Linked DNA regions of Danio rerio. The protein of the gene in region 3 binds, or shares a complex with, the protein of the main gene of each other region. Links are inferred from orthologs where the notes say so. Each region holds a gene or a part of one and is shown on either strand. Other genes may lie near its edges. The genes, in order: cnot11, cnot7 and cnot9.

What was found.
Region 1: cnot9 (region 3) and cnot11 share a complex: the UniProt entries of both Homo sapiens proteins name them as parts of the CCR4-NOT complex. The link is inferred for Danio rerio from reciprocal best matches to the Homo sapiens genes CNOT9 and CNOT11.
Region 2: cnot9 (region 3) and cnot7 share a complex: the UniProt entries of both Homo sapiens proteins name them as parts of the CCR4-NOT complex. The link is inferred for Danio rerio from reciprocal best matches to the Homo sapiens genes CNOT9 and CNOT7.

Annotation. Positions count from the first base shown.
Region 1 is NC_133184.1:58,590,298-58,593,948, forward strand, and holds part of cnot11 (CCR4-NOT transcription complex subunit 11), read left to right. Parts: 5' UTR 1-5; coding exon 6-324; intron 325-641; coding exon 642-806; intron 807-2,023; coding exon 2,024-2,176; intron 2,177-2,252; coding exon 2,253-2,455; intron 2,456-2,665; coding exon 2,666-2,868; intron 2,869-3,651. UniProt on the Homo sapiens protein: Component of the CCR4-NOT complex which is one of the major cellular mRNA deadenylases and is linked to various cellular processes including bulk mRNA degradation, miRNA-mediated repression, translational repression during translational initiation and general transcription regulation.
Region 2 is NC_133189.1:34,918,039-34,922,471, reverse strand, and holds the start of cnot7 (CCR4-NOT transcription complex subunit 7), read right to left. Parts: upstream 2,870-4,433; 5' UTR 2,713-2,869; exon of another isoform or gene 2,445-2,712; intron 1,684-2,444; 5' UTR 1,591-1,683; coding exon 1,474-1,590; intron 1-1,473. UniProt on the Homo sapiens protein: Has 3'-5' poly(A) exoribonuclease activity for synthetic poly(A) RNA substrate. Its function seems to be partially redundant with that of CNOT8.
Region 3 is NC_133197.1:12,453,732-12,458,169, forward strand, and holds the start of cnot9 (CCR4-NOT transcription complex subunit 9), read right to left. Parts: upstream 2,885-4,438; 5' UTR 2,669-2,884; coding exon 2,651-2,668; intron 1-2,650. UniProt on the Homo sapiens protein: Component of the CCR4-NOT complex which is one of the major cellular mRNA deadenylases and is linked to various cellular processes including bulk mRNA degradation, miRNA-mediated repression, translational repression during translational initiation and general transcription regulation.

The DNA.
Region 1 (3,651 bases), on a different chromosome or scaffold from region 3:
GCATCATGACTCTGGCCCCTAAGGATCTGTCTAATCTGCTGGGCATCATGTCGGAGGATGCGTGCAGCAGTAGTTTCGAGCAGCTCTCCTCCGCGTTCCACCATTGTTTCGGGAAGGCGGAGCACTTCGGCGTGGGCTCGGTGCTGGTGATGTTGCTGCAGCAGCCGGATCTGTTACCCAGCGCTCCGCAGCGGCTGACGGCGCTCTATCTGCTGTGGGAGATGTACCGCACCGAGCCGCTCGCCGCCAACCCCTTCGCCGCGGTGTTCGCTCATCTGCTGAACCCGTCCAGCGCCGCGGAGGAGCAGGAGAAAACACTGTCAGGTGCTGCTGCTGTTACCTGTTCATTTCTGTTTCACCTTCATCTCAATGCTGCACTTTAGTTATATTAATATACACTCACAGCACAAAAACTACAGGACACTACACACACACACACACACACGCTACAACACACACACACACTACATCACACACATGCAGCATATGTGACTGGATGGTAAATATTTGTTGGATTTTCAGTGAATGCAGTACATTTAGTTTGTTTTTGCGAACACTCCCAGTAAGCGTGTGTGTGTGTGTGTGTGTGTGTGTGTGTGTGTGTGTGTGTGTGTGTGTGTGTGTGTGTTGTGTTGCTGCAGGTTTCCTACCACCCATCACACTGCCAGAGAAGTTCTTCCTGTCTCAGCTGATGCTGGCGCCTCCACGAGAACTCTTCAAGAAGACCCCGAGACAAGTGTCCTGCATGGACATCACTTCCACACCGCAGACTATAGACATCAGCGGCCTGCAGCTCGCACTCGCCGGTAAGAACACACACACACACACACACACACACCATAAGAGCAGAGTGTGAAGGGTTCATCAGCAGAGGAGCAGCACAGTTCTACTTTAATACTGCACACACACTGCATTATGGGGACAGAGTGCTGCAGTGTGTCTGTGAGCGAGACAGCAGGTGTGTGTGATGTTTGAGAGCTGCGGTGTCCAGAGTAATGTCAGCAAACCACCAAGAGGAAGAAGCACATGCAGCAGGAGGAGCTGTGGAGGCCGGAGGAAGCTGCTAACCCTGACTGACCCAGAACACATCAGAGCTCAGCGGCCCGACTCACTGCAGAATGACATGTGCAGCTCCACTCTCCTGTGTCCAGCAGAACTGCTGCTCTGGAGCTCCACTGGGTCAGTATACATGACCCAAACCTCTGCTCACGCCGAACGCCGGCTTCAGTGGAGGAGCGGTGGGGATCTGGAGCTGTGGACGGTGTGGAGCGTGTGCTGATCTCTGATGATCCAGCTTCACTGTGTTTCCCACATGCGGGAGAGTTACGGTGTGGAGAAGCCCCACAGGAGCGGCCCACCCAGACTGCTGATGCCCAGAGTCAAGCATGCGGGGTCACTGATGGTCTGGGCTCAATATCATAATGTTCCCTAGACAGGTGCTAGATGGGCACTGGGTCGCTGCCAAGGAATACCCAACTATTCTGGAGGAGCATGTGACCCAATGGGTCAATCACTGTATCCTGAAGGTGTTGTTGTGTTAGGATGATGATGCAGCGACACACACAGCAGGACTGGAGACAGAGCGGTCTGATGAACATGACAGTGAAGCTGAACATCTCCCATGGCCTGCACAGTACCCAGAGCTAAACATTATTGAGCAGTTTGGGCTGTTTTGGGGGAGTGGGTCAGGAGAGGTTTTCCTCCAGCAGCATCAGCAGTGACCTGAACACTATTCTGAAGAAGAACCGCTCACAACCCCTCTGACCACTGTGCAGGACTCCTGTCTGACATTCCCAGCTGATGTTGGACTGAGGAGGAGGAGCTGCACCCGCTGATGTACAATTAATATAATATAGCACAAACATTCTCACATTCGTTTAGAATAAATCCAGTACAGCAGTGGTGTTATTGCAGATGTGTTTGAGGTGTTCAGTATATCTGTGCTCTACAGCAGTGTCTCCCTCTTCAGGACTGTCCAGTGCTCCTGATCCTCCAGTAATCTCTCCTCTTCTGTTCTCCGCAGAGCGTCAGTCAGAGTTGCCCACTCAGAGTAAAGCCAGTTTTCCCAGCCTGCTCAGCGACCCGGATCCAGACTCCTCCAACTCTGGCTTCGACAGCTCCGTGGCCAATCAGATCACAGAGTCTCTAGTGACAGGACCACGCCCTCCTCTGGAGAGTAAGATGATGATGATGATGATGAAGGTGATGTGTGTATTCTCCATCTGCTGATGGTGTGTGTGTTCCTCCATCAGGTCACTTCCGGCCTGAGTTCATCCGCCCCACTCCGCCGCTGCTGGTGTGTGAGGACGAGCTGTGCTGGCTGAACCCCTGTGAGCCGGAGCACCGTGTGCAGTGGGACCGCTCTATGTGTGTGCGCAACGGCACTGGTGTGGAGATCAAACGCATCATGGCCAAAGCCTTTAAGAGTCCACTGTCAGCGGCGCAGCAGACACAGGTACACACTACACACACACACCTCTACACTACACACACCTGTACACTGCACACTACACACATGTGATTACAGCAGTCTGTCTACCAATAAACGGATTTAAACTGTTCCAAGAGGTTATTCTGTATATAAAGTGGCGCTACACACCTGACCACTACATATACACACCTGTCCAGTCCATCTGAGCATGTGTGTGTGTGTGTGTGTCGTCAGCTGCTGGGCGAGCTGGAGAAGGACCTGAAGCTGGTGTACCACATCGGCCTGACCCCCGCCAAACTGCCGGACCTGGTGGAGAACAACCCTCTGGTGGCCATCGAGATGCTGCTGAAGCTGATGTCCTCCAGCCAGATCACAGAGTACTTCTCTGTGCTGGTCAACATGGACATGTCCCTGCACTCCATGGAGGTGGTCAACAGGTATGTGTGTGTGTTTGTGTAAGCTGATGTCCTCCAGCTGGATCACGGAGTGCTTGTACCTGCACAGTCTGCTGTTTAGTTTAGTGTTGAGGTCGAGTCCACCTTTGTCTAGTCCAGGTCAAGACCAAGTCCTTAACCAGTCGAGGCCAAGTCCGAGTCCTAAAGGGGCTGAGTAGGATTTAAGTCCGTCCGAGTCCTTAACATGCGAGTGCGAGTTGAGTCCAGAGAGTCATAAAATTCATTCATTCATTTTCCTTCAGCATTAGTCACTCATTTATCAGAGGTCACCACAGCATAATGAACCGCCAACTATTCCAGCATATGTTTAACACAGCAGATGCTCTTCCAGCTGCAACCCATCACTGGGAAACACCCATACACAAACACTCATATGCTACGGCCAGTGTAGTTGATCAGTTCCCCTGTAGCGCATGTGTTTGGACTGTGGGGGAAACCGGAGCACCCGAAGGAAACCCACACCAACACGGGGAGAACATGCAAACTCCACACAGACCCAGCCGAGACTCGAAACAGCAACCTTCTTGCTGTGAGGCCACAGTGATAAACACTGAGCCACCATGACGCTTAAGTCATAAAATTTAAAATAATAATGATGATAATAATAATAAGTCAAATATAATAAAAAAATAACAGTTGTTTAAACTGAATCTTTTGATCTATTTTTACAAAATGCCTTGTAATTTATTTTGTCAACTTGCTGCTAGTAAAATGCCTTTAGTAACTCAAGTGCTGAACGCATCAAAGCTCAAAAGTTTGAACAAC
Region 2 (4,433 bases), on a different chromosome or scaffold from region 3:
CATGGTGCTGTAAAATCAATCTGATGCCCTTGATGGTATTGCTGTGTGGTTAATCGAACATAAACACCCCAGGAGTCTCAATCCAATGAAAGAAAAAACAAAACAAAAAGGCAGATTTTTATTTGTATGCTGTTTAATTCATTCATTTATTTTCTTTTTGGTTTAGTCCCTTTATTAATCTGGGGTCGCCACAGCGGAATGAACTACCAACTTATCCAGCATATGTTTTACACAGCGGATGCCCTTCCAGCTGCAACCCATCACTGGGTTCACAAACATACACTATGTGCAATTTAGCTTACTCAATTCACCTATACCACATGTTTTTGGACTTGTGGGGGAAACCGAAGCACCCGGAGGAAACCCACGCGAACACGGAGAGAACATGCAAACTCCACACAGAAATGCCAACTGACCCAGTGGGAGCTTGAACCAGCGGCTTTCTTGCTGTGAGGCAATTGTGCTACCCACTGCGCCACCATGCTGCCCATGTTGTTTAATGTAACTATTAAATACTATTTGTGTGCTCTGTAGATTATGAATAAAATATAGTAATTCTAATAGTTTATTTAAATTTAATCAATTTTTGGAAATCATCAAGCGGCTCTCCCACATTGTCCTGCGACCCCTCCCCACCCCCCCAGGGGGTGCCAACCCCCTCTTTGGGAACCACTGATTTAAGCAATGCAATTAAAACTGCAATCTGCTTTATTTCAAAATTAAATGTGACTGTGTATTTGACTTGCAGGGCAGCACATACTGAACAGCATCTGACTTAAAGCAGTGAATGCTACTTTATCCAACTTGAGACTACACCGATGTCAAGTTTTTTTTCCTCCTTCCCTTTCCCTTGTGTTACTGCACAAGCTTTGATGACAACACAAGTGTTTCACATTTGGCCAGGTGACAATGCCTCTGGTCTTTTCTGAAACATTACAGCTCAGGTGATGCTTCTGAATTTGTTTTTATAAAAATACAAACACATTTTATGCAACCATAACTATCTTTTTTTAACTTTTTCATGTATAGCAAAATAAAATTGATAAAAATGTATAGAAAATGTATAGATACCGATGTTACAGGCTGGGTATAAAGCAAACTGTTGCATTAAAAATGATCTGAAAAGGCTGTCTATTTGAAGCATTCGATCCCAGAATGCATGTGTAATTATAAAAACACAAACTGTTTTTTTCTTTCTTCACTTGAATTACACAGGCCTATCTAGTTTAATGCTTTTGGGCCCTCAAGATGTGTTTTTGTTTTGTGCAAAGCTAAGGGAGTGACATACAGCTTAAACGAAATTTAAACAACAAGTATAACAATCATCACATGCCCTTACACCTCTGTGACATCTGATGTAGACATTCTGGATATTAACAGCACTATTTAAACTTGCTAAGCAACAATCCTAGATTACATGTGAAAAATAAAACTGGACTCATTTAAATGAAACAACATGACTTTCAAACTCACCATTGCAATGTAGTTGAACTTTCGGGTCACCTGTCGGATCCTCTTCATCTCTTCTTCCAGATTACAGGCCCAAACCTCACATATTCTCTGGCTATGATCCACAGTGGCTGCGGGCATAGTTCCACTCTCAGGTGCACGGCATCAAAACCAAAAAAACACTCCCCAGGGGATATTCTCATGAAATAATAGTTGCTTGTTCCCTCTTTTTGCCTGCAAAAACAAACAAAGCATTACAACTAGCCTGCTGATTTAAATCAAATGACTTTATTCTTACTACATCACAAACAATACACTAACAAATAAATAAAATGCAAATTCATTTTATGAAAGTGTAAATAAACAGTGTTCAAAATGCAGAATGAATAAAAGAATATGTACTAAATGGTTTATATATGTCACCAAAAGTCCATCATCTGTCATTAAAATGAGAATTTTGTAATCAAGTATGCACAAACTGAATTTTCTGCTCTAAACTCTAAATAACAACTAAACTTGTCTGTGAATTTAGTTGTGGATCCTACGTCTGCCATGGCCTGGATGATTCACTTGGGTAAATCAATATAAATGTGTTTACAAATTTCACACTTTGTTAGATGAACAACCTTTTCATTCCAGACAGCATTATGAAGATTAGAAACAGAAGGAGATTTTCTTCCTCTAAGCTTCCTCTTTGTAAACATGACTCCTCGGCTGCTATTTTTGCTTCATGACAGCATTTGAATAATGATTCATACTTACAACATACAGAAAAAAACTACTGTAGTGTGACTAAACATTACAACAAGTGCCAGATAAGACAACATGGTTTCAGGCTAACAGAAGCATTCACTTCAATATGCAAACAAAGCATGTAGGAAGATTGGTTGTGTGCCAAAAATGCTTTTGAATATTCATGCACGTTAAAGTGATTTTATAGTCTATTGTATTCTGCCTCACATGTCCTTAAGCTATTAAACGCCCAAATAACTTACTGTGGGTTGACAGGTTAGAAGCATCAGCAGCAGCTAGGACAAAATCTGCTAAACTGAAAAAACAACACCGCAAACGTCCTGAAATCACGTCTACACTAAGCTTTCAAAGAACTGTGTTAGTAGCCTCTCGTAACGTGTGAATTGTGCTGTTTGGAGAACGGGGTGAATGTTTATTTCTGTATGAGGCTAGCGTGTTAGCTACTAGCTTAGCCACAAAGTTTGTCCTGTTAGAATGATCAAACTTGACTTTTTTTCTGTCAGGACTTACCTTTCCTCAAACAAGGTAGTTACACTTAAAGCGTATACTGCTTCAGTAATACACAATCACCTTGTTTAGAAAGGACTGGGACGTTTGTTCTTTACTTTTATATAGTTTTATTGGGCTAACACCGATATCAACAACCAGCTGCCACCTCTGAAACTACATCACAGCGCTACAGCGTGACGTCACAACACCACGACGCCTGACCTTTGAACTCCTCGTGGGAGTTTTATGTTCGTAAATAAAGACGCTGATGTGCAATTTAGTTATTTTTATGTTTATGCTTCATAACCCCCAGGTAATGTTTATTTTCATATTATTTTCTATATATTCATATTATCTCTCTGTTTATCTATCTGTCTGGCATGGGACAATAGCCGTTCTCAAGGTATACTGTACTTTGGAAAAGTCAACGTTTTAAAACCGCCCAAATTTTCAGCTATAACGTTTCTTACAAGGTATGTGTAATAATTTGTATTCAGTTTTTTTTTTTTTTTTTTTTTTAGGACAACAGTATCTCCAGCAGAAAAGGTATCCAAAGATACTATTGTAAAGAAACATTTGTAACTAGATTCTTAAAGTTTGAGGACAAACTTTGAGGCAGGCTTGTGAAAGCCTGATGATAATAGTTTATTTAGTTTAAACAGTTTTAAAAAGTATGAAAAGATGATTCTAGCATGAATTAGCATGATAGATAGATAGATAGACAGACAGACAGATAGATAGATAGATAGATAGATAGATAGATAGATAGATGATAGATAGATAGATAGATAGATAGATAGATAGATAGATAGATAGATAGATAGATAGATAGATAGATAGATAGATAGATAGATAGATAGATAGATAGATAGACAGACAGATAGATAGATAGATAGATGGTTTGCTAGCATGAGTCAAACAAGCCAACCCCAGCTTCTCTAAGATGTTCTGATACTAAGATATAGCTGCTGTTAAATCGTTGCTAGGTTAGTCTGTTTTGTTGCTATGGAGTTGATTGACAGTTTAGACTGTTGATGTATCAAAGCTTCTTGCCAGTATGAACAGTTAAAAGCAACACATGTCTCTATCTCACTGCAGCATGACGATATCAGTCTGAACCTCTATAATAGCAGTCTATGGGATCGTTGCTAGGGTGCCGCATCTGGTTGTTAGGGGTGTGGCTAGAAAGTTAAAAGCTCATCAGTTATTGGTAGTTTGGTAGTCTGAGTTAATTGAGCCCAGTTAAAAGTCTGTGCAACAGTTTCATGTAGAGTTATGAGCTCACAAAGTTTGACCCAATGTAAAGTCAATGAGAGTCTTTTGCAGTGGAAGTCTATGGGACAGTTTCTAGGGTCCCAAAAGTGGTTGCTAGGGTGTGGCCAGAAAGTTAAAAGCTCATCAGTTATTGGCAGTTAGGTAGTCTGAGTTAAATGAGCCCAGTTAGAAGTCTGTAGGACAGTCTGATGCAGAGTTATGAGGTCACAAAGATTGGTCCAATGTTAAGTCAATGGGATTTTTCCGATGGTCCCGGGACGTTTTTCGGAAAACCGAAAGTCGGATCAGTCGGAAAAGATATAGCAACCCGAGTCAGACCAGTTTGGAGGTCTGGTGTGAGTTTGGTGGTCATAGCTTGAAAGCTCTAGGAGGAGATAGAGTTTAATTTTTAGTCTCAGAAGAAAAATAGGATAACAATAGTCTGGCTTGCTACACAAGCCAGCCTAATTATAAATAGACATTTTAAA
Region 3 (4,438 bases):
ATTCTTATATTCTGTTTACACTCTGATAAATATTTTAAAATCCCCTTTAAAGACAAAAATATTTCCTGAATAAAAATGTTACCTAATATAATTTAAAATGACACATTCTATTAAAATAAGCATCACAACCAAAATACACTTATACAAGTCACAAATAGGTTTTTCTTTCCTTCATTGAGTCATTACTTTGACTACTAACGTCTAGGCATGGGACGATTTAAAAGTTTGGAATAGACAAGGCTTTAAAACCGCTAAAATGTTCTGTTATATCGTTTATAAGGTATATGTAAGGGTTTACAGTGTATTTTTTTTTTGTGTGTTGTAAAGAAATCTGTGTTTTTGAAACTAATAAAGAGAGCAGAAGTCAATGATTTATTTTTACTATTTACCCTGACATAGTTCATAAAACATAATATATTGCATGGAGAAAGTTTTTTTGTTTTGTTTTACCCAGATATGTAAAAAGCACTTATTTTAGCGCAGTAATGATACCACAAAACTATGCTATTTTTATCCAAGGTTATATCATACTGTCAGAATCTTATACCAGCCCATGCCTACTAATGACTCAAATGTCAAAATGTATGGTGTAATTTTTTTTCTCACAAGTTGTTACTATATTACCAGGTGACAAAATTAATATTAATAATAGTCACACATAACTATAACTCATAACTATATTTACTAATGACCATGAGGAAAATAATTCTATTTACAGGGTTCGTCCTTCATTTCAATGATTTTCAAGTAAGTTTTAATGACCTAATGTTACATGTACTGTCTCCATATACGTGGTAAATAACAAGAAAAACTATGCATGTTAAAGGTTATAATGGAATATCATAAAACAATCTATTAGGTTTAAATGAATCTTTATAGGCTGCACAGTGGCACAGTGGGTATCACCGTGCTCCGGTTTTCCCCACAGTCCAACGACATGTGGTATAGGTGAATAGGGTAAGTTAAATTGTCCGTAGTGTATGTGTGTGAACGAGTGTGTATGGATGTTTCCCAGTGATGGGCTGCACCTGGAAGGGCATCCGCTATGTAAAAACATGCTGGATAAGTTGATGGTTCACTCCGCTGTGGCGACCACAGATTAATAAAGGGACTAAGCAAAAAGAAAATGAATGAATGAATAAATTAATCTTTATATCCATTTAAAATTTATTTAGACAATGTTCACACACTACTAATAATGTGAGAGCATGTGTTCGACCATGGACAGAAAAGAAGTAGGGCTCAACGCTAAGAATTTTTTCTACTGGCCCAATCGGACCAGCTGTTCAGATTTTTACTTGCCCTGCCAATATTTTAACTGGCCCCACCAAAAAAAGTTAATAGCTATTTCTTAGCCACAAATTAAAAAGAAAAACATGTCAAAATGTTTGTAAATCTAGAATTTAAATATTAAAAAAAAAATTAATGTTAATAAACTACTAGTTAATTAATAGTTAATAAATGTATAATGAGCAAAATTCTAAGTGTTCTGAAACAAAGGATGGCTAAAGACCTGCCGAACTGACGGCAAACTGTACAAAACATCACTTAATTGTTTTAGTCGTGGTGTACCCTCGTAAATGTCTGCTTCCAAGACATTAAAAACACATGTCTTCCTTTAGCATAATCATTTGATGTTACCGCCATGTTGGAGTCTCTACGCTGTACTGGTTGATACGGATAAAAATAATGTGCTCACAACATCCAATCAGATAAGAAAAACCGAAAGGTAGCATTTGAAGGCTTGAAAACACAAACTCTTTCTCAATTCTAAGACTGTATTTTGCACGCAATTGACAAATAGTCACAGGCAAATGAAACTAGTGACAAGGCAGCATAAATGATCCTGTCTACTGTCCCAAGCATCTCACACACTGGCCCCGGGCCATCGGGCAGTCCTTATTGTTGAGCTCTGAGAAGTAAAAAAGACAACTGATCTATATTTAAGTATACAGATACCTGTTAAACTAATTTCCATGATTTTTTTCTAAAACTTTGTTGGTTTTTCCGTTTTTCCAGGCCTGGAAAATGCCATGTCAAATTTCCATGACTTTTCCAGGTTTTCAATGACCGTATGAACCCTGCATTTAACTGACTTAAATTATAATATTGTTATTATTATTAAATTATAACGCGATTTATATTGTCATCTATATTTTACATTCAGAAATGCAATTTTTCTCATAAGAAGCCTAATTTTACGGCTTTGTTGACTGAAATATGTTTATATATTACCAGCACCAGCGACTCTCAAACGTGTTAATTTAATTGCGAACATTACATATGTACATTTTGGATACTTGTTTTTTGTTTATACGTCCTCGTTTGATATTTATATTTTTGATGTAAAATGTAATATGCTGTTCTTTAAATGAAAAAAATAAAACACTAACTTAACAACTATGCTAATATTATGTTTACAAAAAGCACACGTAGAAAACGTCAGGCTCGCATAAATTTCTCACATATGACTCTCTAATAACTATAAGTACTTACACTACATTATGTTTAAAGAAAAGTCTAAAATAAAGACGAAAACGAGCTTTAATACAGATCACCATAGTAACTGGTTGAATTAGCTTTAGCCGTTAGCTCTACCAGGCCCCTGCACAAACAAGAGTAAAACCCCGAAAAGCGTCCAGAAACTCACCGCTCCTGTCGCCAACATCCTCGCGACCGCTTTACTGTGCTCTCCAGAATAAAAGTGAACAGTGGTTTTCAAAACAACGAGAAATAAACCAGGTTTACATTAGCAAATGAGGTAAGGGGAAAAAAACAACCGCCTTCCGCAGCTGCCTCTTCTTCTACGCTCCTCTTCTTCTTTTTCTTTCTCTGAGTTGTTGGCGGGTAAGGATCATCTGTGTTCATTGCTGCCCCCATGCCGACTCTTGAGTAGTAGCCTACTATACTTAAAGTGCTTATTTTAAACTCCATTGTTCACTTCTACTAAAAAATAACAATTCATTGATTATAGTTATTATAAATATGCTGTTCATCATAATGGTATTAAAATTATTACGTTATAATGATTATTATGTGATTAATGATAACAATAGGGTATTGATATTTTCATATAATAATAATAATAATAATAATAATAATAATAATCACAACAATAATAATCAATTATTCATTTTTCATCCATTTTCTTTTTGGCTTAGTCCCTTTTTTAATCTGGTGTCGCCACAGCGGAATGAACTGCCAACTAATCCAGTTTATGTTTTACGCAGGGGATGCCCTTCTAGCTGCAACCCATCACTGCATGCCCGTAGCCAGCCTGGTGAAAGGGGTGGTTCTTTTTGACCTTGTGGAACTTTTTTCACTTATACGCCTCAGTTTCTATTTAACTTTGAGATTTGAATACTGCAAGTACTGGTGAAGTTTTTTTTCCCTCTCCGCTGTCGCCACTGCCTCGCATGGTTCAGGATTGGTAGAGCTACGCATCAATGAATCGGCTCTTCAGTGTTTGAACTCTCAGTAATGATTAAATCACACTGAACTGAGCTAAACTGAACTGAACTGAACTTAAACACTAAAACCTGAACCACACTGTTCCAGTTACTATGACCATTTATGTGAAGCTGCTTTGACACAATCTACATTGTAAAAGCGCTATACAAATAAAGCTGAATTGAATTGAATTGAACTGCATTTTAGTGATTTTTTTGCTGGATTAACTAGTCAGATGTCATCAAAACCGCACTTTTTGATGTACTAAAAATATGTCTTAAAAATTGCATTAAAAAAATAAAACAAGACTAATTTTTAAAATACAAATTTATTAAATAATATACAGTATCATTAAGAAAAAATAGCAATCTGTCAAAGTTTTGAAGTAAAATAATTGTTGCCCACTAACATTTATTAGACAAAAAACAAACTGGCCAGCACACGCAACTGCCCTTAGTCACAATTTGGCCAAAAAATGTTAAAATTTAATAATAATAATAATAATAAAACAATTATAATGAATTTTGCAGAATTGTTCTAGTCTCTTTGGTAAAAAAAAATACAATTGAAAAATCCTAGATATGAACAATAGCCAACATATATTCTAATTAATTTAATATGGTCTGCTTCTGATGCTTCACATCTTTTTAATGCTCATTTTTATTTCAGAAATAAGGTCCCAGATTTAGAATAAAAGTAACCTGTAAATGTTTTCTCTGTTTAAAAGCAATACAGTAGTGAAAGAAGACTTCTCTTACATCAGATTATAGTCCCACCGAAGCAGCAGCCGACAGAGGATTTCACTTGGTCTTAAAGCCTTTTTTTTTCTTTTTCTTTTTTGATGGATTATTTTCAATATTTATGATGGCAGCAGTCAAAATAGGACAGATGAGCTCATGTATGGGACAAATTCTGGTTAGAGCATGTTTTATGCTTATAGTAAACTTGTTTCAGGTGCAGGTCAGATTTTCTCCAGGTAATAATTTAT